Macaca mulatta: one gene and its partners. The protein of the gene in region 3 interacts with the protein of the main gene of each other region in a biochemical or structural test. Links are inferred from orthologs where the notes say so. Each region holds a gene or a part of one and is shown on either strand. Other genes may lie near its edges. The genes, in order: SHC3, NRG2, ERBB3, GRB7, TXK, ABL1 and RASA1.

Region 1 (3,500 bases), on a different chromosome or scaffold from region 3:
TCAGAACACACTTCCCACATAACACATACGCCCATGATTGTTCACACTTGGGCAAGTCCACTCTGTAAACCAGGAAACTTCCTTCAAAAAATCAGGAAATTCCCTCTCAGTGTCAGATCCCTGAGCTTGATGTTATTTTGCCATTTTTAGTGGTGCCATTATCATTCACAAAAGGTAGTAATGTTAAAAATTTCCTATAACAAAATAGAAATATCATAACTCTAGAAAGCAATTGCCTTACTAGAATTTTGAGTTGGACATAAAGCAAGGGAATGAATAAAATAGAAAACTCATAAAATTCTCATCCTTTTAAGGGTCTATATTCACTCCTTTTCAGAGAACCCAATGCCTCCCAAGCCTTTTTAAAATCTTAAATTCTCTCTTTCCCTCACTGAGATCACAGTATGATGGAATACATCTGAGGGTACAGAGGACACCCCCAGACTCATATCCCAGGAATCACAACACAGTTCCAAAGCGTTTGGCTAATGCTTTATGATGTTAACACACACAAAGCCTCTCCTCATCTGCATGCCTCATGAAATCCAGTGAGAGAAAGTTCATGATTTACCGTGTCAAAAATGGAATAGAACATCAGCCTGAAATAAAACAAACAAACAAAAAAACAAAACAAAAGGAAATAAAGTTGAGTTAGCCTCCATTCCTTATACAGAGAAAAAAATATAAGACTTACCTGTGCAGTGTCAGGAGCATGGGGTCTGGGTTTCAGTCGAGCATCAAGAAAGCCCCCTGGAGGAGGCATCTTGCTTGGGATGCTGTTGTAGTACGGGTGGTCTGAGCCTTCTCCCTCCTCTTCTGTCCATGGCTCATCCAGACTCTGCATTCTGTTAAAGGAAGATTTCCAAGGGCTTTAGCCAAAAGTTGAGCTTGCAGCCAAAACCAACGAATCTAATGTTAGCGCCTGTTATCAAGAAAAGAGAGTTTAGTCAGTGCCTCTTCAGCCATCCAGGTCTCACGCATAGATGAAAAGCAGACGAGTGGTTTAGCAAAAGATCTCTGCCATATTCAGAGTTTCACTCACTGGAACATTTCAGTCATGTTTGAATGAGGTCCTTTTGTAAAAGGACATTTTAATTAAGAAAGAAATTATGCCTAAGGATAGCCAGCTCCTCAAGGGACAGCACACATTTTTGTAAGCCATGAAATTGATCCCAAACAAAACCAACTACAAAATGGAAATTTAGTGATAAGAGGGAAAATGGTAGAATATGAACCTCTCAAAATTCTCCCTTCTGCTATTTGAAAAAACTGTTGTGCTTCAAAGGACAATGTCAAGAAAGTAAAAATACAAACCGCAAAATGGGAGAAAATATTTGCTAACATGTATCTTAAAAGAGACATGTATCTAGAATATATAAAGTACTCCTACAACTCAACAATGAAAAGACAGCCCGATCTTAAAAGGGAGCTAAGGTTTTGAGCAGACTTTTCTCCAGAGATACACAAAAGGCCAATAAGCACAAGAAAAGAAGCTCGACATCGTTAGTCATCAGGAAAATGCACATCAAAACCACAACCAGAGACCAATTCATCCCCACTAGGGTAGCTATAATCAAAGAGATAGACAAGAAAAAGTATTGATAAGAACATGGGGATATTAGAACCCTCACACATTGCTGATGAGACTGTAAAATGGTGCAGCCACTTTGGAAAATAGCTTTGCAGTTTCAGCATAACCATATGACCACAGAATTTCACTCCCAGTTATATACATAAGAATATTGCAACATATGTCCACAAAGAAACTTGTATACATCTTCACAGCAGCAATGTTCATAAGAGCTAAAAGGTAGGGCTGGGCGCAGTGGCTCACACCTGTAATCCCAGCATTTTGAGAGGCCAAGGCTGGCAGATCATGAGGTCAGGAGTTCAAGACCAACCTGGCCAACGTGGTGAAACCCCATCTCTACTAAAGATACAAAAATTAGCCGGGCGTGGTAGCACGTGTCTGTAATCCCAGCCACTCGGGAGGCTGAGACAGGAGAATTGCTTGAACCTGGGAGGCGGAGGTTGCAGTGAGCCGAGATCGCGCCACTGCACGCCAGCCTGGGTGACAGAGCAAGACTCCATCTCAAAAAAAAAAAAAAGGTAGAAGCACCCAACTGTCCACAAACTAATGACTGGATGAACAAAAGGTGATATATCTATACATTCAAATATTACTAAGAACTCTAAAATGAAAGAAATACTGACAGATCTTACATGAGTGAATCTTGAAAATATTCTTCTAAGTGAAAGAAGCCAGATACATACAGTATGATTCCATTTATATGAAATGTCCAGAATGGGCAAATCCATAGAGACAGAAAGTAGTTTAGTGGTTGGCAGGAGAGGAGGGAGTGGAGAATGGGGAGTAATTGCTGATGAGTATAGAGTTTCTTTGGGGGGGTAATGAAAATGTTCTGGAATTAATGGTGATAACTGTACAACTTTTGAATATAACAAATCAACTGAATTGTAAACTTTAAAAGGGCGATTTGATTATATATGAATTATCAATTTTAAAAATAATAATAAATGGAGTCTTAGTGGCATCTGATTTGTTTTTCAAAGTCTTCTTCGGTTTTGGGTTGAAATACCCTTGGATTTCTGCAAGGAAAATCCTCCAAGAAAAATCAGACCATACCAAAAAATCCACTGATGGATTGAGTGATTGATTTTTTTGAGACAGGGTCTCGCTCTGTCACCCAGGTTGGAGTGCAGTGGTGTGATCACGGCTCACTGCAACTTCTGCCTCCCAGGCAAGCCATCCTCCTGCTTCAGCCTCCTGAGTAGCTGGAACTACAGGCACGCACCCTTGCACCTGGCTAATTTTTGTATTTTTAGTAGAGATGGGGTTTTGCCATGTTGCCCGGGCTGGTCTCACAGTCCTGGGATCAAACGATCCACCCGCCTCAGCCTCCCAAAGTACTGGGATTACAGGCATAATCCTGCAATCCATACCTGGCCAAAAATCCATTTATACAAAAGTACTATTTTTTCTGGGTGCGGTGGCTCAAGCCTGTAATCCTAACACTTTTATGAGGCTGAGATGGGCGGATCACCTGAGGTCAGGAGTTTGAGACCAGCCTGACCAACATGGAGAAACCCTGTCTCTACTAAAAATACAAAATTAGCTGGCCATGGTGGTGCACGCCTGTAATCCCAGCTACTCGGGAGGCAGGAGAATCGCTTGAACCCAGGAGGCAGAGGTTGCAGTGAGTTGAGATCGCACCACGCCACTCTAGCCTGGGCAACAAGAGAGAAATTCTGTTTCAAAAAAAAAAAAAAGTACTATTTTTTATTTCCAGTTGAAGATGTGCAATGAATCCAGATATCCAGATCAGAGTCTCTTCCCCAGTAATAACATAATGAACAACAACAACAAAAATTCACAAATAGTAAATCTATACACTCACCTGCAGCGAGAGAAGGACCGGAGAAGCCTGACTCCCCGACGCAGAACGCACAGCTTGGTCGGCCTCACACTGCCACACTCC
Region 2 (3,500 bases), on a different chromosome or scaffold from region 3:
GCACCATCAGTGTCAGTATGACACTGCCTTACAGAGCTCAGGGACCAAACGAGAACCTGCATGAAGGCTTTGTGTATCCTTTAAGGGACTATCCCACTGGAAATTGTTACACACCTCAGCATGAGCACTGGCTTGGCCTCACCTTCCTAAGAACAGGGTACTTTCTCTTTTGTGGTGTGTGTGTGTGTGTGTGTGTGTTTTGTTTTGTTTTTTTGGTGGTGGGGAGAGGAGCAAGGAAGTGAAACATGGGAGACTGGGGCATGTGGAGATAGAATGGCATTTAAGAAAAATGGGGACAGCCTCTCAGCCTGGCATTTGCAGTTTTGCATCCGTGCTTGGGCCTGAGCCCACCAGTACAGCCCCATGGCTTGTTACCCATGATTTTAGATCTTGAGCACCAATGTCAAGGAGATCTGGGTTTGAATCCCAGTTCCATCATCTGCCCTTAGGGAAGTGACTTCACCATTCTGAGCCTCCGTTTCCCCATCTGTAAGTGGGTTTAACCATTGCTGTGAACTCATGGGGTTATTATGAAGGTTTCATAAGCTAATGTCAAGCTTCACACCATTCAAGGCATGAAGGAAACTCTCCATTAGTTATAACTACATTGATGTCATGACAGACTCACTGTAAATGCTTATTGAATCGAACTAGGGAATGACACCAGGAGGGGTGGCTCTCAGGATCATCCCTCCCTTCCCCAGTTCCAGCCCAAAAACAGTGGCCCTTACTGTCCACTACTCATGCTTGGCATTGCCCCTGCCACCACCATGCTCACCTACCTGCCTTGTACCCCACAGCCACCCGGCCCAAGTTGAAGAAGATGAAGAGCCAGACGGGACAGGTGGGTGAGAAGCAATCGCTGAAGTGTGAGGCAGCAGCCGGTAATCCCCAACCTTCCTACCGTTGGTTCAAGGACGGCAAGGAGCTCAACCGCAGCCGAGACATTCGCATCAAATATGGCAACGGCAGGTAAGCAATATCCAGCCTGTCCTCCGTCCAACCGGCTGCCTTCCCTCCTCTCGAGAAGGAGGGGCCTGAACTGGACAGAGGCCAGGGCTGTGCCCCCAGATTCGCCCATGGAACCAGTCCCAGCCCCTCTCTTTACTCCCCTTCCTTGCCACTCCCAGCCTTCTTCCTGCAGCTCAGGGACCCTCTGGTCATGGTGGCCCAGGGTCTTGCAGACCACAGACAAGAATTAAGCCTTTAACTTCTCTGGATAGTTGAAGGCAATTTGACTGTCACAGTCAGCTTGATCAGTGGAAGACCCTGCTCACCCCTAAAACTTCTTGAAAGACCTGCTGCAGCGTCTGAAAGCCCCATCATTGGTAATCTTTGGTGAAAGACCCTGACTCCAGAATGCCTCTGGGAGGTCACACATGATGGGCTGGTTTCTCAGCTTGCAAGCTGTCACTTGTCAGAGAGCTAGGTAGGGGAAAGGGGCAGCACTTTGATTGGTGCTGGAGAACTCTGTTCCTCAGAGGGTTTCCCTCTAAAACATGAGAATTGTGTTTGATCTTGAATCCGTGCTCCAAGGAAGTGAATCAGAGAAGTTGCCTGAGTCTCCAGGCTATGGAAGATGGCCTGTCTTTCATCTTGGGTGGGTCAGGCAGGGGGCTTCTGGCACCAGAGAAGCCGGTAGTCCAAGGCAGCCCACCACCTCTCTCCTGCCTCTCAAGGAGAAGCAAGGGGGAAAACCCGTGCCTGCCAGCTAAACAGGCGTTCTACTTGATGTCTGCTCTGTTGGCTCTGGGGACCTAGTGGCCTTCCCTCTCTGACTCAGGAGCTCCCAAACCTTTTCTGCCCTCTCTCCCAGGCAGCTTACAACCACTCCCTTCCTGGCTGTCATTTTCCTCCTCACCACCCCACCACACACACAAAATGCAAATTAGGATGGTTTTAGAGCACACCAGCCTGCCCACAACAAAAAGTGGTAGAGGGCCTGGGCTGGGCCGGCTGCTTGGGTTTGCCGTGTGGGGCTGGATGTCCACGCCCTGCCTCTGGCCCTCAGACTCTGGAACCTATAAAAGAGGATGAAGGAGTCAGGGGACTGAGAGTTACTTCCAGTTCTCTGATTCTCCTTCCAAGAATGGGGAGCAGAAGTAGAACTGATCATTCTAGAAAATGATCCTGGCAGAAAACAGAATGTAATTAAGGAAGGGTTTGGCTTAGATCAAAGGTTTGTGGCTAAAAGAATGCCGCTTCCTAAGGAACTCACCATGGCCAGTGGTGAGTGGGGGGTTCTATGTGTCCCTAGTCTACAGCATTGTCAAGAAGCTCTGGCTGCCCACCCAGCCCACCCTCTGAGACCACCCTGCCCCTTCTCACTGCACTTCCAAGGCTGGCTCCAAGCTGAAGAGAATGGGCAGGCTTCTTGGAGCTGGGGCAGTTGGGTCCTGTCTCCTTCCTATCCTTTCTTTCTAGAAGATGGCTTCTCCCCTACTTCACTGCAGTGACAAAAGTCAAGAGAGCCCCCATTCCCTCCTCATGACTCCCAAACATGTCTACAACCTGCCTATCATCATTCCACCCTACCTGGTGCCACACACTCATACTCACCCTCCCTCCCGCACATTCCCACACTCCACACACACACACACACACACACACACACACACACACACACACACACACACACACACACACACACACACCCGCAGAGCCCTGGTACCACCAACTCACTCATTTCTCTGGTAACTTCAACTTTCTCTCCCTACCCGTGACTTTTTTTCTCAAATGCTGTCCCTCCACGCTGCTGCTCCCCTGGCCCTCCAGCAGTTGCCCCATCTCACTTCCGCCCTCCACCACCATATGAAGTCACTGAGGGAGCTAGCCTCATGCCCACTGACTGCACACTCTCATCCTCCACTCACTCTTTGCCCTGCTGGAATCTGCCTTTCACTTACATCCCAACCTCTCGATGGCTGTGGCCCTGGAGAAACCCCAGTTATCTCTGCACTCCCTGGCTCAGGCCTCCAGGCCTCTCAATGGCCTCAGCATAGGAACACCTGCTCCCCAGGCCCTGTGATGCTCCTCCTGGTCCTGCTGTGAGTCTGGACACTGTTTCTTAGTTGCCATCAATGCTGGAACTTTCCTGAACTTTGGACCTCACTCTTTTCTTTTCTTTTTTTTTTTTTTGAGACAGAGTCTTGCTCTGTTGCCCAGGCTGGAGTGCAGTGGCCAGATCTCAGCTCACTGCAAGCTCCGCCTCCCGGGTTTACACCATTCTCCTGCCTCAGCCTCCTGAGTAGCTGGGACTACAGGTGCCCGCCACCTCGCCCGGCTAGTTTTTTGTATTTTTTAGTAGAGATGGGGTTTCACCATGTTAGCCAGGATGGTCTCGATCTCCTGACCTCGTGATCCCCCCGTCTCGGCCTCCCAAAGTGCTGGGATTACAGGCTTGAGCCACCACGCCTGGCCGGGCATCACTATTTTCTTTCTTCCCTTTCCAACTGTGGGTGATTTCACCTTCTCCTGTTGCTTTAAGAATCTGAGACCCC
Region 3 (3,500 bases):
CCGAGATGGCACCACTGCACTCCAGCCTGGGCGACAGAGTTGAGACTCTGTCTCAATTAAAAAAAAAAAAAAAGTATATGGGGAATTTTACACCATTCTTGCAACTTCAGTGTAGATCTAAAATTATGTCAAAATAAAAAATTAAAGGAAAAAAAAACAGGTGGTTATAGTGTTTTTTTCCCTCTCTTTTTCTGACACACACACACATACACACACAGACACACACACATATATTTTAAGTGCTGTCCTACAGACTAGAAAGTCCCTTTGTTCTGCTGCTCCAAGGAGCAGAATGAGTGAAAACATCTAAAAGTCACAGGGAGACAGAAATTTTTTTTTTTTTTGAGACGGAGTCTCGCTCTGTTGCCAGTCTGGAGTGCAGTGGTGTAATCTCGGCTCACTGCAATTTCCACCTCCTGGGTTCAAGTGATTCTTGTGCCTCAGTCTCCCGAGTAGCTGGGATTACAGGCACATGCGCCACTACACCCAGCTAATTTTTGTATTTTTAGTAGAGATGGCATTTCACCATGTTGGCCAGGATGGTCTCGATCTCCTGACCTCGTAATCCGCCCACCTCAGCCTCCCAAAGTGCTGGGATTACAGTCACCGTGCCCAGCCTGAAGACAGATTTTTATCCAAATTTAAAGAAGAACTTTTAGAAAACTTTAAGAAGGAGGTTGGGTGCTATGATCCCCAGCACTTTGGGAGGCCAAGATGGGAGGATCGGTTGAGCACAGGAGTTTGAGATCAGCCTGGGCAACATAGCAAGACCCTGTCTCTACAAAAAATACAAAAAAATAAGTCGAGTATGATGGTGTGTGCCTCTAGTCCCAGCTACTTAGGAGGCTGAGGTGGCAGGATCACTTGAGCCCAGGAGGTCGAGGCTGCAGTGAGTCAAGATCACGCCACTGCGCTCCAGCCTAGGTGACAGAGCGAGACTCTATCTCAAAAAAGAAAAGACAATAAAAAAGAAAACTTTCAGAAAGAGGATATGCTGTTCCTGTCCCTTGTTCCTTGACAGGGCGATATTCAATTGCTCAAAGATGTTCCTGAGGGGACCCAAGGCCTGGATGGAGGATGTGTTAAGCATTCTTTCAGGTCCTTTATAACAGGCTAGAATTTTGTGACTTTGATTCCTAGTCAGCTCCACATAGGAAAGTTTAGGCCAGTGAAATGAACTGTGAGGGGTGCATGGGCTGGGGTCTAAGGAGGGAAGGCAGGATCTCTAACCCATTGAGGCCGGTGATCAGAAAGTCCAGGTTGCCCAAGATCTTGGTGCAGTTCACAAATCCATCGATGTTGCTTGAGTCCACAGTCTGGAAGCGGCTCCCAGAGCCTGTGCCCTCACAGGCTGTAAATGTAAGAGAGATTCAGTGGGGGTGGTCTGAGCAGGCTCAGAGGAAAGGCTGTCTCTTTACAACTTCTTACCATCTCCTACCCACCTTTGGGACATAGTCCCCCACAAGGCTCACACATCTTGAGTCCATTTTTATCTACTTCCATCTTGTCAGGAGGACAGGCCCTAACACAGGATGTTTGATCCACCACAAAGTTATCTAGGGAAGAGGAGGACAACACCATTAGAGATGAGGGAGGAACACTACCAGCTACCAATGGAACCCTTGCTGTGGGCCTGGGCTCCCTCCGGCTCTGCACTGGATCTGTCCCCATCTGCCACCCTAGGTCCCTTAAGTGCTGCCCTGTAGATTCGAAAGTCTCTTCACTATTTGTTGCTACAAGGAGCAGAAGTAAGGGTGATAGCTGAAGTCATGGGAGGACAGGACATAGGGGTCACTCATTGGAGTGGTTAGATGATCATAACCATTCACCAATCTCCCTATTTATCACCAACTGGATTCTTTTTGCCTCCCACAATTTTGTCTAAAATCTTGGAACTACTATTGTTGATCATTGTTCCTTCCCCTCAAACACTTACGGGGACAGCTGGCTACACAAACTCCTCCATACTGATACTTGGTGTGGGGATTGGGTTCCAGCTGGAAAGTTAGCTTGTTGTAGACAAGAGGCTGTGGACAGCGAGGTACACAGGCTCCACTGTCATTGAAGTGCCGGCAGGCCTGGGAAAAAAGGAGGCCCATCAGATTTATGTTATGTGTGTACCCCTACCTCCTCCTCAAAGGCCACAACCCAATTTCAGAACCCAGGCAATGGAAAGAATACATACAAAGCAGTCTGTGTCCTGAGGGCCTGAGCAGCCCCCGGCACACTCATCATGGCAGCACTGGTTGGGGTTGGGCCCAAAGCAGTGACCATTACACTGAGGAGCACAGATGGTCTTGGTCACTATGGAAGGAGAGAAAGCATGGCTGTTAGGGCTCCTAGGACTGAATCCTGAGGCCACTGCTCATGCCTCCCCCGCAGTATTGACCCAGGCTTGGGGAGGAAGGGATATGAAAGTGTATGAGTAAAGTTTTTGGAGGAAAGTTCAAACCCACATGTTTGGCAGTCTTCTGGTCCAGGACCCCAGCATCGCCCCTTGCAAACCTCATGACAGAGGGGACCTGGTTGGGAAGGAAGGCAACACAAGGGGCCATCAGGGCTAAGAAAGGCTTGTTTGAATCAACAGGGTATGATGTCACTACACAGGCACCTCAATCCCGGGAAGCAAAAAGCCAAGGCTGTGTCCCTCCCTGCCCTTGGAGAGCAGGGCTGGGCTCAAGTGAACCTGTCAACAAGGGGTGGGGCCACGCCTCCACACTACCCAGTGGGCAGCTGAAGGGGAGGGACTGGGGCAAATGCCAATCTTAGTCCCAGTCCCAACCCAGGAACTTGGTTCCTCCTGGGCAAACTGAATATATGCAGGAATATATGCATGTGAATGGTCAGGGGAAGGTGGGCTCTGAGGAGAAGGGAGTATATTCTAGTGGAACGAGTAACAGATGTGGAGCCTAAAGATCTGGCTTCCCTGCTTAGTACCCAGGGAATTTTTTTTGTTTTTTTTTGAGACAGGGTCTCAGTCTGTTGCCCAGGCTAGAGTACAAAGGCACAATCACAGCTCACTGCAACTGCAGCCTCCTGGGCTCAAGCAATCCTCTGCTTCAGCCTCCTGAGTAGCTGGGATTACAGTTGTGAACCACTACGCCTGTCTGATTTTTAAATGTTTTGTAGATTTTTTGCTATGTTACCCAGGCTGGTCTTGGACTCCTGGGCTCAAGTGATCCTCCCACCTTGGCCTCCCAAAGTGCTGGGATTATAGGCATGAGCCACCATGCTCGGTCTGCTCCTTTTCTTCTTTTTTTTTGAGACAGAGTCTCGCTCTGTGGCCCAGGCTGGAGTACAGTGGCATGATCTCAGCTCACTGCAAGCTCCGCCTCCCGGGTTCACACCATTCTCCTGCCTCAGCCTCCTGAGTAGCCGGGACTACAGGTGCCCACTACCACGCCCAGCTAGTGTTTTTTTTTTTTTTTTTTTTTTTTTTTTGTATTTTTAGTAGAGACGGGGTTTCACCGTGTTAGTCAGGATGGTCTTGAGCTCCTGAC
Region 4 (3,500 bases), on a different chromosome or scaffold from region 3:
CTGCAGAGGCTGGAGCTGGCACTCTCAAGACCTCACCTTAGAGGTGCCCTTGGTGGAGTAATAGAGGCCAGATCGGCGCAAGAAGCAGAAAAAGCGTTTCCAAAGCTTCCGTCCTGAACCCCGCAGCTGCAGAAAGCCCTGGATCTCAGGGAAGCTGCCAGCATTCAGGAAGTTCTGAGCCAGAGAAGAGAAGAGAGTGGGAGGTCTGGCCTCCTCCCTTCCCCTCTACCACCAGATGTCTTCTTTTTCTTTTTGAGATGGGGTCTTATGCTAGTGCAGTGGCACGATCACAGCTCACTGCAACCTTGACCTCCCGAGCTCAAGTGATCCTCCCACCTCAGCCTCCCAAGCACCTGAGACCAGGCTCATGCCACCATTCCTGGCCTTTTCCTTTTTTTTTTTTTTTTTTTTTTTGGAGAGACAAGGTCTCACTATGTTGCCCAGGGTGGTCTCAAACTTCTGGGCTCAAGTAATCCTCCTGCCTCAACCTCCCAAAGTGCTGGGATTACAGGCATGAGCCACCACACCCAGCCCACCCTCAGGTTTTTACAAGGAAATGCTCCACATGCATTTCTCGCCCCCATTTAACAGAAGAAACTGATGCTCAGGTAGGGAAAGTGAGTTGTCCCCAGTCACACAGGACTGTGGTTTGGCTCTTTCTACCACATAGAGGGGAGGCACAGGACCTAAGGGCGGAGAAGCACTGGTCAGTTCTGGGGAGTCGTGAAATGGGGGGGGGTCTCCCCACCTGGATGAGGTCTTCATGGGATATACCAGTGTGTGCATCGAGACAGCTGGAGACCATTTTTTCTGGGAACAGGGAGTGCTGAGGGTAGAAAAGTGTCAGGGGTCAGGGCTCCAGTGTCCGGTTCAGGCTCAGGGCATCCCAGCGCCCAGACAGCCCTCACACACTCACTGGGGAGCTCTTGAACAGTTCGTACTTGGCGAAGTTTTTCCGGAAGACGAAGCGGCTATCTCCGCCCACGGGCCAGGCAGCCTGCACTTCCACCACGGACTCGTGGTCCTCCAAACCCCGCTCTGGGGTCAAGGGCAAAAAGCAGGGGTTATTGGAGATCAACCAGATCTCCCAGATGAGTCACATGCCTAGCCCAAGATGCGAGACATCACCTCCCAGCCTGGGTAGTTCCATGCACCCGACTTACCCAGTGCTAGGTGGGGGTGGCACTCCACCAGCCCCCAGGTCTCGTCGCTCAAAGCGTGAGCTCGCTGCACCAGCATTTCACACACATGGCGAGCTGTGGCACCTGCCGCCACCTCCACAGACCTGCAGGCCCCGTCCTCACTGTACACCTTTACTACCTGTGCCCCAGGAATTGCAGATGACTTGAGGGGAGGCAAAGGGTGATTCCTTCCCTTTCCGCACCTGCTAGACCCTCAGGGACTCCTAACCAAGATCCCCCGCCTCCATGGAAATGGCTGTGTATCTCCCACAGATCCAGAACCCTGCATCCCTCCCTTCCCTTCTGAGGGACAACTCACATGGGGGCGGCTGGCATCGCGGGGGAGCAGCCCTCTTGCACTAGAGGGGCCCCCAAGAATGGGGCTCTGTGAGGGAGGACTGCAGAGCTCAGGGAAGGGGTTGGGGATGGAGGGGAGGGAGGTGGCACGCCGCTCCTCCTCTCGAAGTTTCCTGTGGCAAGAAGAAAAAGGGAGAGAGGTGTGGGGAAAGGAGCAGTGGCCTGCAAGCCTCTGTGTATTATCCAGCACTGACCTCCCCCAAGCCCCACATCCCATCGTACCTGCCGGTGGTTGGGATGAGGAGAGGCTGGGACCTCTTTACCTCCTCAGGCAGAGAGGTATCAGGGGGCCGGGGAGTCCCAGGAGGGGTCCCGGGGGCTGGGCAAAGGTCTTCCGGAGAGCTGCCAAGATGAGGTGGAGACAGATCCAGCTCCATGGCATCTGAGGGAGAGAGGGGCAGAATGGAACCAGTTGTGTCAGTTGTATGCCCTTGTCCTGGGGAGAGGGGACTAGAGAAATCAGACCTCCTGACCTCACACGGTGGTTAGGGTGCCCCTCAGAGTTTACCTAGCACCTCACTGCTCTAACTGGAGTTTCCCTGAAGCCCTTGGGGAAAGACAGAATGAGCCTCATTTTATAAAAGGGGACACTGAGTCTCTGAGAAGGAAGCATTCTTACCCTCAGTCACAGGTGAGTCGGGGAGTAGAACCTGGTGCCCTGAGTCACAGGTGAGTCAGGAGTAGAACCTGGTGTTTAGACTCCAAGTCCAGTGCTCTTTCTGGTTTTTTTGTTTTTTTTTTTTTCACTGCAACCTCTGCCTCCTGGGTTCAAGCGATTCTCTTGCCTTAACCTCCCGAGTAACTGGGATTATAGGTGCATGCCACCATGCCCAGCTAATTTTTGTATTTTTAGTAGAGATAGGGTTTCACCACGTTGGCCAGGCTGGTCTCGAACTCCTGATCCGTCCGCCTTGGCCTCCCAAAGTGCTGGGATTACAGGCGTGAGCCACTGCGCCCAGCTCCAGTGCTCTTTCTTTAGCACAAAGTTGCTCACAGGAAGAGCTGAGGGTCCACCCACCACAAGCCTGGTGGTCACAACAGATTTCACAACCCACACACTCTCAGGCTCAGCCCTCAGGGTCAGGGCAAAGGTCCACTCCTTTGCCTCCACGCGTGGGGCACTCACTGCTCCAGGCACTGCCCGGGTTTTTCCAGCACTGTGTTGCCAGACCCAGTTGCCAGAGCCTGTTCGTACTTGGTGAAATTTGGCCTGCCCAAGTGATGAGTGATGCAGGGGGGAGAAGGAGGTGGGGAAGGATGGGAGCCCGAAAGTCAGGAGAGCCGGCTCCGCTTCAGTGCAAGGGGGAGAGCAGACCTGGGGTAGGTGTCCTGGCCACAGCAGCCCCTAAACCTTGCGTACCCTCCCCAGGCCATCCTCCTGCCCAACTCTTTCCTGAGGCTCCAATGCTAGAGCCACTTCCTCTGAGAAGCCTTCCTGGCTTTCCACATTCTGAGTGAACGACTCCCTCTCAGCACTGTGCAGGGGCTACATCATCCATTACTGCGCACCTGTCCTATCCACTCATTTGTCCAAGGGCACCCGGTACCCCCAGGCAAGGCCAATCTCACCCATGTCTTATCACTTACAGGGGCTGCACAGACACTCAGGACAAGTAAAGACAGGAGGGCCGGCAAAGGCGAGCACTAGAGGTGGAGGTGGGGCTGGCCCCTCCTCCTCAGGAACCAGGCAGACCCCTTTGGCTGGACTGAGACCTGGGAGAACCTGCAATCCCAGCCCCTAGCCTGTTCTCCGAACACTGGGCCAGTACTATGAGGCCACCTGGGGCACCTGGGATTGACCCCTCAGGAGGGCGCAGGCACCTGACCCCTCAGTGAGGGCATCAGGGGATTTGGGGGACAGGTGAGTCAGGGCAGGCGGGACAACACTGCCTAGGGCTCTCCATTCAACCTTGACTCATCCACACAACTTCCTGGCTTAGGAGAAACAAAAACAGCCCTGCC
Region 5 (4,177 bases), on a different chromosome or scaffold from region 3:
GGACCTTTTTTTTTTATTAACAGTAATACATCTTGAGGCATCACTTAGCTGTCTCCTTGTCAACAGTAAACACTCATTGTTTTACCCAGCAGAAAATGTAGCCACATTCAGCTGCAATTGACAGTAGACAACAGGTGATTCTTATCATCAAATCAAATTAACAGACGCTGGAAAGGAGAGTGAGCTTTCATCAAAGCCATGCCAGAGAGAATAATCCTCAAAATACCCCGCCAATAGGTAGTCCCTTATTTAATCCCTTGGGCAATCAAATCCTTGTCTCAACCTTCACAATGATTTATTTTATATATAACCGAATCGTTCCTGCTGTAATTTACAGCATTTTCTTTAGTTCTGACCTTGACGGAAATAAAGAGCAGATGCTCACACAGCTTTTAACATTTAAAGATTCTTAAGTCACTGTTGAGCTTGTCTTGCCAGTGGGGGTGGCAGGGGACACAGGTTGCTGCTTTTTCACTTTTTCTGCTTTGCTCTGCTTGGCCTATATTTCTGTTAACAGGAGCCTTGTTCTTATCTGCGTGAATGGAAGACTACGAGTTATTTTCAGGTCAGCACAACTGGAATAACGTGGTCTATTTATTTATTTATTTTTTTACAAAATCTACAAACAATTGTTGGCTCCTGTAAGGGGATTTGGCTTAAATAGATGACATTTAAAAATTACAATCATTTTTTCCTTAATGCCACCTAAAAGTCAGAAATGTAAAAACTTGACTTTTTTTAGCTGGCCTTTGATTGCTTTAATCTGATATGACTGAGCTTTGTTGAAGCTTGGTTCCATCATCATCTAGTATTAAAATCAAAGACAGTATTTTCCTTCCTTATCTGCAAAATAACGCCCTCTGAGTCTTAGAGATAAATTAACAAGTATTTCCAAAACTGAGCAACTCCCAAAATAAAGTTCTTAAAGCACCTCTTAGGTTTATTGTTTCTTTACATTTTGTTGCAAGGTGGCCAAAAAGGGAGTCGCCTGGGCAAAAGTTCTAGTTCTGGATTTTGTCCAGCATTTGTGGATCACGGTTGGCAGATTTATATGTATACAAATATACACATACACATACACACACTCCCTTTGAGAGCTTATTTATATATACAAACTTATATATGTGTGTACATATGTGTGTGTGTATATATATTTTTATATATATATATATATTTAAGGCAAAAGGAAGAGCGCTTAAATCCCAAGTCCGGCAAGTCTCATGCTTGGCCAGGTGTGGTGGCTCACACCTGTAATCCCAGCACTTTGGGAGGCTGAGGTAAATCATTTGAGGTCAGGAGTTCGAGACCAGCCTGGCCAACATGGTGAAACCCTGTCTCTACTAAAAATAGAAAAATTAGCCAGGCATGGTGGCGTGCACCTGTAGTCCCAGCTACTCGGGAGGCTGAGGCAGGAGAACTGCTTGAACCCAGGAGGTGGAACTTACAGTGAGCTGAGATCACGCCATTGCACTCCAGCCTGGGTGACAGAGCAAGACTCTGTCTCAGAAAAAAAAAAGTCTCATGCTTAAATCCTGAGTGTGACAACCATGTGAGCTTTTGGTGAGATTTAAACTTTCAAAGGCACTATTTTCTTATTGGCTACATAAGAATAACAATTTTCACCTTGCCAGTTTGTAGTGAAGCTTTCAGATAATGAATATAAAGGAACTGGTATAGACCATGGCCCATGGTAGGTGCTCAATAAATACCTTTATAAAGAAACAAAGATATTGCAATTCTGATATGATGGCTGCCTTCTTATTTAGAAGACTATTCTGCTTGTTTTTCTTTTTATTCTAATTTCTTTGGATTTATAAGCATCCCCACGGCTCTTTCAAACCAAGGATCTTCACAGATAACAGCATCTAGGGAATCTTTCTCTGTTCTCCTAAAACTAGCACTTATTTTTAACGGTGGTCTTATATTCTATAAAAATATTAAAATAACATCTTCATATGTAATATTATATATGAGGGAAAGAGACATTTAAGCCAGTGTTCACACTCGACCATGTTCACACTCTTAACCATGTGGAGACTCATGACTTTGACTCTTATTTTTGCCTTTACTCAGGCTCTGACTGCAGGTAAGAATCAGTTTTGCCTAAATTTCAATTGCCTGGGAAAGGTCCTCAATAACGGATGTCTACACAAAATTGTGAATAAATACTCCTGTGAAAATAAGGGTAAGTCTATATGTTTACATGATAAACACAGTTGTGTTTTAACCTCTCTTCCTTTTGCCTTAAATATATTTATTTGTGTCTGTGTGTGTATTTATATATATATAAAGTTGCCAACTGTGATCCACCACTGCTGGAGCAAATCCAGAACTAGAATTTGGTCTCCTGGCCTTCAGTCCAAAGTTCATTACAGTCTCATTCTAAAAACAAGTACTTCACACTGATTGCATTTCTACACACACATATGTAGATTCCTGGACATTCTTTTGTTTTTCTTTCATTTATGTTCTCAATGCTGAACCTTTATTAGAATTACATCACCACCGTGGTTCTTTAAATAAGAAACAAAACTCTGTCACAACATCTGAGGAAATTACCTTTTAATGTTCCCAAGCTCTGTGCCTTAGAAAGAAAAACATCCTCTGCTGTTCAAGAAGAATAGGTCCAGAACAAGCCCCGAAAATAAATTGAGAAAGCTCATCTTACTCACAGGAGGAAAGGATCATGGCAGCCCCTTCTGCAGGGAGCACACAACAGTCTTCAGTTCTTCTGCAGTGCTCCACTCACAAAAACACATCTTTCAACTGAAATCATAGTTCACTCAAGATGTTTCTCACGGGCAGAGTTAACCCCACCTATTTTCCTGTTCTGAAAACCTCAGAAGAGTATAAATGACAACCAATGGCCTATATAAGAAAGCTCAGTAATCTCCATCCCAATCTCTGAGGGTGTCTGCTATTAGTCTCTCATCCCCAAAGGTGTGGGTGACTCGCAAACATCATTTTCAAGAAATCACAAAATTTTGGTAAAAGGCACCTTTAAAATCATCAAGTCAAACTGCCCTCTCTGGACTGGGAAGGAAATGGAGGCACAGACAGAATAAGGGACTTCCCCAAGGCCACACTCTGAGTGGCAGAAACAATTAGATTCTAGGCTCTGGAATATTGAGTTTAGAATGTTCCATCCTCCCACTCAGCAGACACTTTATTTGGGCGAAGTCAATCTAGTAATAACCCTAAAATGTGATTGGGGGATGACTGAGAAATATAAAAACACCAACAATACAAAACACACTTGGGAGTTTCACTTCATCCCACTGGAAAGCATAACTATGTGTTAACTAATTAACAGAACAACTTTTTTTTTTTTTACATAAATTAACCCATTTATTATAGGCCAGTGATGTCTCAAAGAGTAGAGGAGCATCTACTGGTCTTTCAACTCCTTCAGTCTTCTGATGGCGGACTTTATCGTGACAGCGGAAGTGGTATTGTATGTCCAGGCACTGCCAGCCACTGTCTTCATGCAGGAACCACAGTGCCAGATCCCCACAGCTCGTCTCTTCATCTTGGTTTTGCCACAGAAAGAGCAAGTGTACTTGGTGTGCTGGCTGATTTCAATTTTCTTCACCATTTTCCGGCGGGAGGCCCCATAGCGGGTCCCGTATTTACTGATGATCCAACTTTCTTAGTACATTTGGCCATCTCGCCACGAACCAGGTCCGAGCCCAGAGAGCAACAGAACAACTTTAATGAAGACACAGCATATTCCCATTGCCCTTCCAATCTCCTGTTTAGATTAGGGTCTCCTTAGCATTCTGGGTGATGACTGTTATTTTTACTTCCCCTTCTGCCTTAGTTATGCTTTCGTATAAAACCTTTTTTTTTTAAGTCTTAGTGAAAAATATTTAAAGTTTTTTGAAGGAAATGTTCACAAATGTTGCCAGGTACTATCTATCTTGTTTTCCCATAAAAAGCATACATTGACCATTAGGGTAGGGACTCTTATCTTCTCCTCACTCTCTTTCATACCACCTAGTACTTCCCATAGCTCCTCAAGGTGAAAAAGGAAGTATGGGATGGCAGGAGGGAAGGAGGGAAGGTCAGGAAGGAAGGAGAAAAGGCTGATAGTGATAGTAAGGTAGAGTGTGCCAGGACCGACTCCTTGAATAAGCTACAAGTCAGTTAAAAGTTGTGCATGGTTAGCAACCAAAAT
Region 6 (4,126 bases), on a different chromosome or scaffold from region 3:
AAATTTGGGAGCCATCATAACACATGACCATATTGGCTTGCCTAAAAACAAAGCTAAAATAGAATTAATGTTTCAAGGCAAAGTAAAATCCAAGCACCCAGATTTATTTAGATGAAGTGAGTATTTTCTTGTAAGAAAGTAAAACTTCAACCGTCAAATGCAAGTTCATCCAACAGAAGCCTTTGTTGATTGCAGTCACCCAATGTTAAGAAGTATTTCTGAATGAATTTCAAACTATAAGCCACTGGCACACTTGATACGTTTGCTTATAGGATAGGTGGGCTCAATTGATTTTTTAATATAAAGGACACAATCTGAAAAATGGCAGGCTGCAACAGTACAAACAGTAACCCTAATTAATTGGTTATAGACATTAGTGTAAGCCGACCCTTAGCTTTAACTTCACACAGAATTACTGGACATGAACAACATAAAATGTGCTGTCAGCACTCAAATGCCAAATATGTTCATAAAAATGTCAAAGACAACTTTTATTGGCCCAAATGTCACTCTAAACAGGGAGAAGAGAGGATGAAAGCTTCATCAACGAGGAAGGGATTATTACTCCTATGGAAGGTAAGACAGAAGCTGTGTATCTAAAATTAATAAGGAATGCTGCCTCCCCACTTGATTTTTCCCACATGGCTCCAAAGTGAGTATTTTCAAGTCCCACTTATGATGGAAAAGGTCAAGGATATTAGCATCAACCAGTATCTATGATTCTTAACTTTACCAGAAAAACAAACCACTTTGAGAATATGATAAAAGCTCTCTGTAGACAAAGCAGTAAAGAATCCATGCATGTCAGAAGAGCCCTTGACTTCGGTGAGAGCAGAATCATAGAACCATGCATCCTAAGAAACAACTGAAGTCCAGCCCCTCAGGAAACTGAAGCCCTGGAACAGTAAAATGGCTTGTCCAAGGTCAACAGTGAATTCGCAGAGGAAGCAGGCAAGAAATAAGCAACTCAAATAGATTCTGAATAAAGCCGAACTCACGAAGTAACTTTTTCTTATACAAAGTAAGTTTCACCAGAAACTTGAGAGATAACTAAAGTAACAAATGTATTAAGTGGAATTGGAAGGAACTGTCGCAAGTACTATTATTCAAAGTTCCTTGAAGGCCTAAGATGAACGCATGAGGAAAATAATGAGCAGAAATTTTAAAAGCACTCACCATGTTCCACAAAAACATTGCAGTGTGGACCCCCATGCCTCGATGATTCCTTCTTCCCTGCTCCTTTGATAAAATGCAGGGCAGGCAAGCTTGGCCTTCTTTGGTCCCCAAGAACTTTTCCAGGCTGCTGCCCCATAAAGTAATAATGGGTACCCCTTTCCAGAAGAGGGTTCACGATCTTCCAGAACGGTCAGAGAGCGTAGAGGCAAATGGCATATACGCAGGATTTCACATTCGCTGCATCTCCACAAGTCAGCAATTGAAGTCAATCAGAGAAAGACCTCTTCCATAACAAAAGGAAGCACTTTTTTTAGGTTGACACTTGCAAGCAGGAGTTCCAATTATTTTCGCAGTTTATCAATTTTAAGTAATGTAATTGCAGTGTTACCCAAAAGTTTCTTGACTTTTTTTTTTTTTTAACGGGCTGAATAACAATTTCTTTTCAAAAAGAAAAACCTAAGCAGAAATATTCACAGGGGATGCTGAAAAGGGTCAATAATGCTAGTCATTTCAATTCCCACATATAAAGGAAACGCTGATCGTCTTTGGCTACTCCTCCAGAACTTTTCCTGTGGAAGTCACCAACCTCCTATCTTAGCTTCTTCATCTTCCAACAAATTTCCTGCCGAACTAGTGGCCGCTCTCGCTTCTCTGCTCTGCTCTCCGGAAAAGGACACGGGTCACCCAGATTTCAGCGAGTTTGCCCTCGACTCTGACGAAAAGGAATGCATTGCCAGCAACTTTTAAGTCCGCTTTTTAAAAGGCCTGTGGAACCAATCCAGACTTTTCCTTTGCATTAAAGTTTTTGGCTGACCTGAGACTAAGGGGGCCGTAGGTGACATTGGAAGAAGTCAGGGCATTAGAGGCTCGCGGGAGCCACCTTGGGGAAGGGGAGACCCCTTGACAGCAGGGAGGGATTTGAATGAGAGGCTCTGTGGCCAAAGTTGGGGCCGGGATCCGGAACAAGGGGCGGCTCGGGGCTGAGGGAGGCTGCCGGGGCGCGGCACGGGCGGCTTACTCCAGGGCGACGCTCTTCCACGCCTCGGAAAACGGGGTGTCCCAAGCTGAGGGTAACAGACCCCCAGTGTCCCAAAGCCGGGGTGGAGCTGTAAGGGACGAAGGACTCTCGCGGCCCAGACAGCGAAAGGCGGACGCCGTGTAGAGGAGGCCCGGCCGCCTCAGCTGCCCCAAGCCCGGGGGTCTCTGCCTGAGACACCCTCTCCCCCGGCCCCGGACGCTGACACCACCACCGCCCTCAGGCAATCACATCCCCAGAGCTCCGCCGAGGAACCCAGCCGCCCCCCGCCGGTAGGGGCCGTGGACAGCGGAAGGGCTCCTCAGTCGCAGCACCCGGGAACCGGCTCCGGCTCCAGCGCTGCTCAGGCACAGACACCGACCCCCGCGGCCGCCATGATGGATTACGAGCCGCTCCACAACGAGGCCAGGCCCCGCCTTCCGCCCCGCCCACGACGACGTCCGGAGCCCGCCTCAAGGGGACCCGGATGCCCTCAGGGCCGCTTTCCCGGGACACCGCCGCGCGTCCCGGCTCTGGTCCCACTGCCTGCGAAAGCCGGGCCCGGCACGACCTTTTAAATGTGGCTTCTTTGAGCGCAAGGTGAGTGATAAGGAAGCACCCGCCTCCTCTGTATTGTCATTGGCCTCCGAGAATCCGGGTCGGGCCTCTTTCCCCCGTCCCATTGGCCAATGGGGGCAGTAGGGCTGGATCTCCCAGCCAACCGTGTTCGGCGCAGTACGCGGTGCGTCCCGGGAGTTGTGGTCCCACGGCACCCGCGCGAGTCCTCCCGCACCGAGACTCCTGGCCCGGACCCCGACCGCTGGGCCTCGCCCCGCCCTCCTGGGACCTGGTGGACTCTCGCCGGCCGAGCGTCGGCTGGACCGCGTCTCCCCGGCGCGAGTAGTAAGACCGGGACAAAGCGAGGGAAAAACTGCGGATTGGATTTTCCTGGAACCGGAATCGGATGATTTCCTTCAGTCTCTAAGGGAGAAAATGTGGCTTGCTCCTAGAAGCCAAGGTTTTTGGTGCCTCTCAACCCCTTCACCCTCCAAAAAGCATAAATATTAGAACTAGCGGACGGGGCGCGGTGGCCCACGCCTGTAATCCCAGCACTTTGGGAGGTCGAGGCGAGCGGATCACCTGAGGTCGGGAGTTCGAGACCAGCCTGACCAACATGGAGAAACCCCTTCTCTACTGAAAATACAAAATGAGCCGGGCGTGGTGGTGCATGCCTGTAATACCAGCCTCAGGACGTTGAGGCAGGAGAATCGCTTGAACCCAGGAGGCAGAGGTTGCGGTGAGCTGAGATCACACCATTGCACTCTAGCCTGGGCAACAAGAGCAAAACTCCGTCTCAAAAAACAACAACAACAACAACAAAAAAAAACAACTAGCGAAGAAACATACAGAAATAGGGAAAACATCCGACATGTTGCTAACGAATTCAACTATTTATTTGGGCATTAGGAGGCTTACTCATTACAGAAAAGCCATTTGTTGGGTTTGCCAGGCGCTATCAGATGTTTGCCCTGGAACGAATCTTTAAGACTATAAACATTTCACAGGTGAACACGTATTCACATGAAAACATCCTCTATATTAGCTGAGAAAATGCCCAGATGGTTGGGTTTAGCAAGTCTACAGAACCAATGACCTAGATGTGCCAAACCCACACCTGATAGAATCCATGTTCTGCGACTAAAAAGCACCTTGGTTCCTATTGGCTCTCCATGTCTCCCCAGAGGGATGCATCTGACAGGAATCCCATTTCTTTCTTTTTTTTTTTTTTTTTTTTTTTTCAGATGGAGTTTTGCTCTTGTCACCCAGGCTGGGGTGCAGTAGCAGGATTTCAGCTCACTGCAACTTTCACCTCCCGGGTTCAAGCGATTATCCTGCCTCAGCCTCCCAAGTAGATGGGATTACAGGCACGCACCA
Region 7 (4,102 bases), on a different chromosome or scaffold from region 3:
TTCTCCATCTTGGTCAGGCTGGTCTCAAACTCCCGACTTCGGGTGATCCACCTGCCTAGGCCTCCCGAAGTGCTGGGATTACAGGCGTGAGCCACCGCGACCGGCAAAATTGGAATTTTTAACACTCCCTGAACACTCCCAGGGACTCTGCATTACAATGACATGAAATAAATTGTCGTGTAAAATTTGAACAAAACTCTGACGCAAGACTTGAACCCTTTATTGAGGAATATAAAAGGTGGAACACTACATCCCTATAACATGGCTGGCATAAATATGACTAACTTTACTTTTCCACTTTAAGTATCAAAAGATGCAGCCTTAAGTCAAAAATAGATGAGGGTAACAGAATCTTTTCCTAGTTTCAGTCCTTTCTAAATGCTCCAAAGAAGCTTATCCAAAAAAAAAAAGGCCGGGCACAGTGGCTCACACCTGTAATCCCGGCAGTTCGGGAGGCTGAGGCCAGCCGACCACCTGAGGTCAGGAGTTAACATACCAGTTTGGCCATATGGCGAAACTTCGTCTCTATGAAAAATACAAAAATTAGCCAGGCATGGTGGCATGCACCTGTAATCCCAGCTACTAGGGAGGCTGAGGCAGGAGAATCTCTTGAACCCGGGAGGCAGAGGTTGCAGTGAGCCAAGACCATGCCACTACACTGCAGCCTGGGCAACAGAGCTAGACTCCATCTCTTGGGGGCAATGGAGAGAGGAAAAAAAAAAACCTCTGAATTGTCCAGAATGACTGTCAACATATGAACCAAATCTTTCTTTCCTGATATTCACCAAGGTTGTTAAAATTCTAAGGGTCAATTAAGAGTTATACGAGAAACCTATAACAAGTTTTGCCTAATACCACTTCCCATCGCAACATTTTCATCAAGGTCCACCTTTATGAATAAACACCTAAGTTCAATTAAGACAAGTGAGGAGGTATTAACTTACATTAAAAAAAAAAGTCATTGTCCTGTATATTCTACTTAATTTTCAAATAGAATACTATACTGGCCACCAACAAAAAATGTTTAAGGGAAGCTCTGTTAATTTTGTTTTGTCTCACTGTTGTACTTCCAATGTCTCGACTATAAAAGCTAAGTGGGAAGCCTAGGGAAGAAGATACATTGTTGAAATAAAGGCGCTTAATCACACCTATAATTCACAGTATTCCTTTCCTTTCTCTCTGACCCAAGTTCTCATTAAGTGACCCACAGACTCTTCTAAACATCACTATGCTTTCTCTAATCAGAAGCTGGGATGTGCACTGAAATAAATACATTCTAACCAATACATTTTTCAAATTATTAATACAATACTCGTTTAAATATTTGTATTCAAAATTTCTCACTAATCATCTAGCTTTATCAAGTAACACACACAGGTTAATATACACTATGACTGCCTTGGTAGCCGCAGTTTGACTAAATCCTGGGACACCACTTCAACTTGGAAGGGACAGAACCATATCCGGTTCTCATCAGATACACATTTTCTCATACTTTCCATCTTAAAAACTTTACACCTTCCCAGAAGAGCAATAAATGTAGGAAGACGCCAGGTAGTATGCCTGTAAGGAAGATAAGTGATCAAAGAAACCTGAAACTTCAAAAACTTTTCCTAAACAAATCACAGATGAAAAAGACAAAGTATGGTTTACCCCATTTCCACTTCTTTTCTGGAGCCAGCTGCCCAAATTCCTGAACAGCAGTCTTAACTTACTGGTTAGTTGGAGGAGCGGTCAATGGTATGGCCACCTCTTCCTCCTCGTATTCTGGTCCATCCAGAGAGTCACCTTCGTCCACTGTCCCCAGGCCCGCCCCCAAAGGGGGCAGGTAAGGGGGAGGGGGCAGAGGGGGAAAACCGCCGCCTGGCCCAAGAGTCTCAGCAGGCAACGAAGTGGGCAGCTTGGTGAGAGCCATGTCTCCACTAGGTCCAGCGACAGCAGCACCGGCCACGCCAGCAGCAGTACCTCCCCCTGTCAGTCCGGCTCCCCCCAATGCCCCTGTCATAGACCCGGCTCCTAGGAACCCTGACCCCAAAGCGGCTCCGCCACCCAGAGTTCCAGCCACTCCAGTCTCCACCAGCCCAGGATAGGGGGCGGCTGCCACAGGCAGGGCCGCGGGTATCTTCACCCGACACACTGCGGGATAGGCACTGGAGCCCGCTGCCGCGCCGCCTCCTCCAGCTCCGGCTGTTACCGGGCCGCCCTCCTCACTGCCGGCCTCGGCCGCCATCATGTTGAAGCCCGCTCTACTCTGCCCTACCCTGCCCGCCCGGGAGCCCCGGGGGCCACCAGGCCCGGGCTCCGAGCCGCCCCACCCAGACGCGTCTCCCCTTCAGCTCCCCAGGCGGAGGAAACAACAACAAAAGGAGAGAGCCCGCCGCCGCGCCCCCTCCTAGGGCCACAGCCCAGGCTCCGGAGCTGCTTGGGTTACGGGAAGCGAAGTGGGCAAAAAACCCAACGCCTGCACAAACGCCACCCAAACCTCACGGCACACACCCACACTCACGCACACAAACACATGTACAGAAGCGAAAACTTCCTGGCTGCACTAAAGAGGAAAGGAAGCACAGGGAAAGAGGCTTAGGTGGCTATCGCTCCTTCAGCAGCCACCACCGCTTCTTCACCACCCCAGTTCCGGCCACCCACACCGCAGCCACCGCCGGTGCCGCTGCTGAGGCTGGGGCCACTGCAGCCGCTTCATCCTCCACCAGGCAGATGAGAGGGGTGGGGACAAGAGAAAGGGGGGCGGGGTAACAAGGAAATCGACTGAACTGCTCACTACCTGGAGCTCTCAGTGACTGAAACCGTAGAGAGAGAAAGGAAGGCGGGGCAGGGGAGGAGGGACGGAGGGAAGGAAGGGCGGAGGAGGGAGAGGGCAGCTTGTGCGCAGGCGCGTTCCCGGAACGGGGAGCGGGGAGCGGGGGGCGGGGGGCGGGGGGCCGGGCCTGGAGGAAAAGGAAGAGTCCAGAGGGAAGGAAGCGGCGGGGACGCGCGGTGCGTGGTCGCGCTTGCTGTCCTACTCCGGTTCCTAGCGTGCGGCGGCGCGGCCGCATCTCCTGTTGGCGTGGCCGGCGGCGCGCGCCTGTCTCCCGGGGCTTTGTTTGATGGGCGGGAGAAGAGGGAAGGGTACCTGAGCACGCGGGTGCTCGGCGCTGTGAAAGCCGGAGAGACGAGAGGGGGACCGGGAGGCGGCGGAGAGGAAGAAGGGGGAAAGGGAAAGGAAAATGCCTAGAAACTAGTTCCGTACTTCCTGACCGGTGGAAGAAACAGCCTTAGCCAGCAGCGCAGAGACCATGCAGGAGTCAGGTAGCTTTGAAGATCGGGGCAGTACTAAATGTTGTCTTTTTCGTTGCATGCTATAAATCACCATGACTATCTCACACACACACAGATAGAATAGATTCTGAAACTCCGAAACGAAATAAAGGGCACCATATGAGAAGGGTGGGGAATTTTGGTAGAAATAGTGGTTATGAAGTAAGATTTCTACTAGTATTTGCATAGGTTTTTCTTTATCAACTGTCTCATATACTTACCTATGCTATTATAAGTCTGTTGTATACTGATGAAGAGGAGGGGGTGCCACAGAAAACACTAATCAATGCACTTTTGTCCTCTGTGTGCAAAAGACTGCAGGGTGTGATCCGCAATGCAAGCACCTTCAACAAGTCAAATGTCAAGAATGTCTCAGAATGCCAGTTACAATTATATATCGTTTCTAAAGTAGCAATAAACTGAAAACTCATTTTTAATACAATTAAGGAGAAGAGTGTTATTTTGTCTTCTACACTAAAATGTATACAAACTATTACATGCATTCATGTACAGGGAGCTTCCCATGGTTTGAAATTAACGGTATTGTTATTTTAAATTCTCCCAGTAGTAATCCCACGTTGAATACCATTGGATATTGATCTTTGAGATCAGTATTTTCTCTGCTAAGGATGATCAAGCCAACACTCCGGATGGCAAGTGGTTGTGATAGAAACCAAGGAACAAGAGAAAAGACCACTGAAAGAGGTGGCAAGATACAGGCAATGCATTTTCTTTGTAAATTTGCGTAGGCCTATTTACCTAGTCGATGACAACGATCCAACTTGAT

Evidence for each region.
Region 1: the proteins of ERBB3 (region 3) and SHC3 form a complex in vitro, tested with the Homo sapiens proteins (2 studies listed by BioGRID and IntAct, with this or other methods). The link is inferred for Macaca mulatta from reciprocal best matches to the Homo sapiens genes ERBB3 and SHC3.
Region 2: the proteins of ERBB3 (region 3) and NRG2 form a complex in vitro, tested with the Homo sapiens proteins (2 studies listed by BioGRID). The link is inferred for Macaca mulatta from reciprocal best matches to the Homo sapiens genes ERBB3 and NRG2.
Region 4: the proteins of ERBB3 (region 3) and GRB7 form a complex in vitro, tested with the Homo sapiens proteins (2 studies listed by BioGRID and IntAct, with this or other methods). The link is inferred for Macaca mulatta from reciprocal best matches to the Homo sapiens genes ERBB3 and GRB7.
Region 5: the proteins of ERBB3 (region 3) and TXK form a complex in vitro, tested with the Homo sapiens proteins (2 studies listed by BioGRID and IntAct, with this or other methods). The link is inferred for Macaca mulatta from reciprocal best matches to the Homo sapiens genes ERBB3 and TXK.
Region 6: the proteins of ERBB3 (region 3) and ABL1 form a complex in vitro, tested with the Homo sapiens proteins (2 studies listed by BioGRID and IntAct, with this or other methods). The link is inferred for Macaca mulatta from reciprocal best matches to the Homo sapiens genes ERBB3 and ABL1.
Region 7: the proteins of ERBB3 (region 3) and RASA1 form a complex in vitro, tested with the Homo sapiens proteins (2 studies listed by BioGRID and IntAct, with this or other methods). The link is inferred for Macaca mulatta from reciprocal best matches to the Homo sapiens genes ERBB3 and RASA1.

Annotation. Positions count from the first base shown.
Region 1 is NC_133420.1:119,720,977-119,724,476, forward strand, and holds part of SHC3 (SHC-transforming protein 3), read right to left. Parts: intron 846-3,500; coding exon 695-845; intron 1-694. UniProt on the Homo sapiens protein: Signaling adapter that couples activated growth factor receptors to signaling pathway in neurons. Involved in the signal transduction pathways of neurotrophin-activated Trk receptors in cortical neurons.
Region 2 is NC_133411.1:148,740,656-148,744,155, reverse strand, and holds part of NRG2 (pro-neuregulin-2, membrane-bound isoform), read left to right. Parts: intron 1-800; coding exon 801-972; intron 973-3,500. UniProt on the Homo sapiens protein: Direct ligand for ERBB3 and ERBB4 tyrosine kinase receptors. Concomitantly recruits ERBB1 and ERBB2 coreceptors, resulting in ligand-stimulated tyrosine phosphorylation and activation of the ERBB receptors.
Region 3 is NC_133416.1:63,238,372-63,241,871, reverse strand, and holds part of ERBB3 (receptor tyrosine-protein kinase erbB-3), read right to left. Parts: intron 2,523-3,500; coding exon 2,457-2,522; intron 2,305-2,456; coding exon 2,186-2,304; intron 2,079-2,185; coding exon 1,937-2,078; intron 1,557-1,936; coding exon 1,443-1,556; intron 1,352-1,442; coding exon 1,231-1,351; intron 1-1,230. UniProt on the Homo sapiens protein: Tyrosine-protein kinase that plays an essential role as cell surface receptor for neuregulins.
Region 4 is NC_133421.1:64,095,106-64,098,605, reverse strand, and holds part of GRB7 (growth factor receptor-bound protein 7), read right to left. Parts: intron 2,692-3,500; exon of another isoform or gene 2,158-2,691; intron 1,975-2,157; exon of another isoform or gene 1,921-1,974; 5' UTR 1,916-1,920; coding exon 1,761-1,915; intron 1,652-1,760; coding exon 1,501-1,651; intron 1,321-1,500; coding exon 1,164-1,320; intron 1,039-1,163; coding exon 917-1,038; intron 827-916; coding exon 749-826; intron 175-748; coding exon 37-174; intron 1-36. UniProt on the Homo sapiens protein: Adapter protein that interacts with the cytoplasmic domain of numerous receptor kinases and modulates down-stream signaling. Promotes activation of down-stream protein kinases, including STAT3, AKT1, MAPK1 and/or MAPK3. Promotes activation of HRAS.
Region 5 is NC_133410.1:47,627,543-47,631,719, forward strand, and holds the start of TXK (tyrosine-protein kinase TXK), read right to left. Parts: upstream 2,801-4,177; 5' UTR 2,689-2,800; coding exon 2,673-2,688; intron 1-2,672. UniProt on the Homo sapiens protein: Non-receptor tyrosine kinase that plays a redundant role with ITK in regulation of the adaptive immune response. Regulates the development, function and differentiation of conventional T-cells and nonconventional NKT-cells.
Region 6 is NC_133420.1:16,870,050-16,874,175, forward strand, and holds the start of ABL1 (tyrosine-protein kinase ABL1), read right to left. Parts: upstream 2,801-4,126; 5' UTR 2,019-2,800; coding exon of another isoform or gene 1,920-2,018; 5' UTR 1,313-1,919; coding exon 1,177-1,312; exon of another isoform or gene 1-1,176. Other genes in the region: uncharacterized protein LOC144335005, read right to left, coding at 1,920-2,018. UniProt on the Homo sapiens protein: Non-receptor tyrosine-protein kinase that plays a role in many key processes linked to cell growth and survival such as cytoskeleton remodeling in response to extracellular stimuli, cell motility and adhesion, receptor endocytosis, autophagy, DNA damage response and apoptosis.
Region 7 is NC_133411.1:93,646,054-93,650,155, reverse strand, and holds the start of RASA1 (ras GTPase-activating protein 1), read right to left. Parts: upstream 2,801-4,102; 5' UTR 2,234-2,800; coding exon 1,716-2,233; exon of another isoform or gene 1,659-1,715; coding exon of another isoform or gene 1,654-1,658; intron 1-1,653. UniProt on the Homo sapiens protein: Inhibitory regulator of the Ras-cyclic AMP pathway. Stimulates the GTPase of normal but not oncogenic Ras p21; this stimulation may be further increased in the presence of NCK1.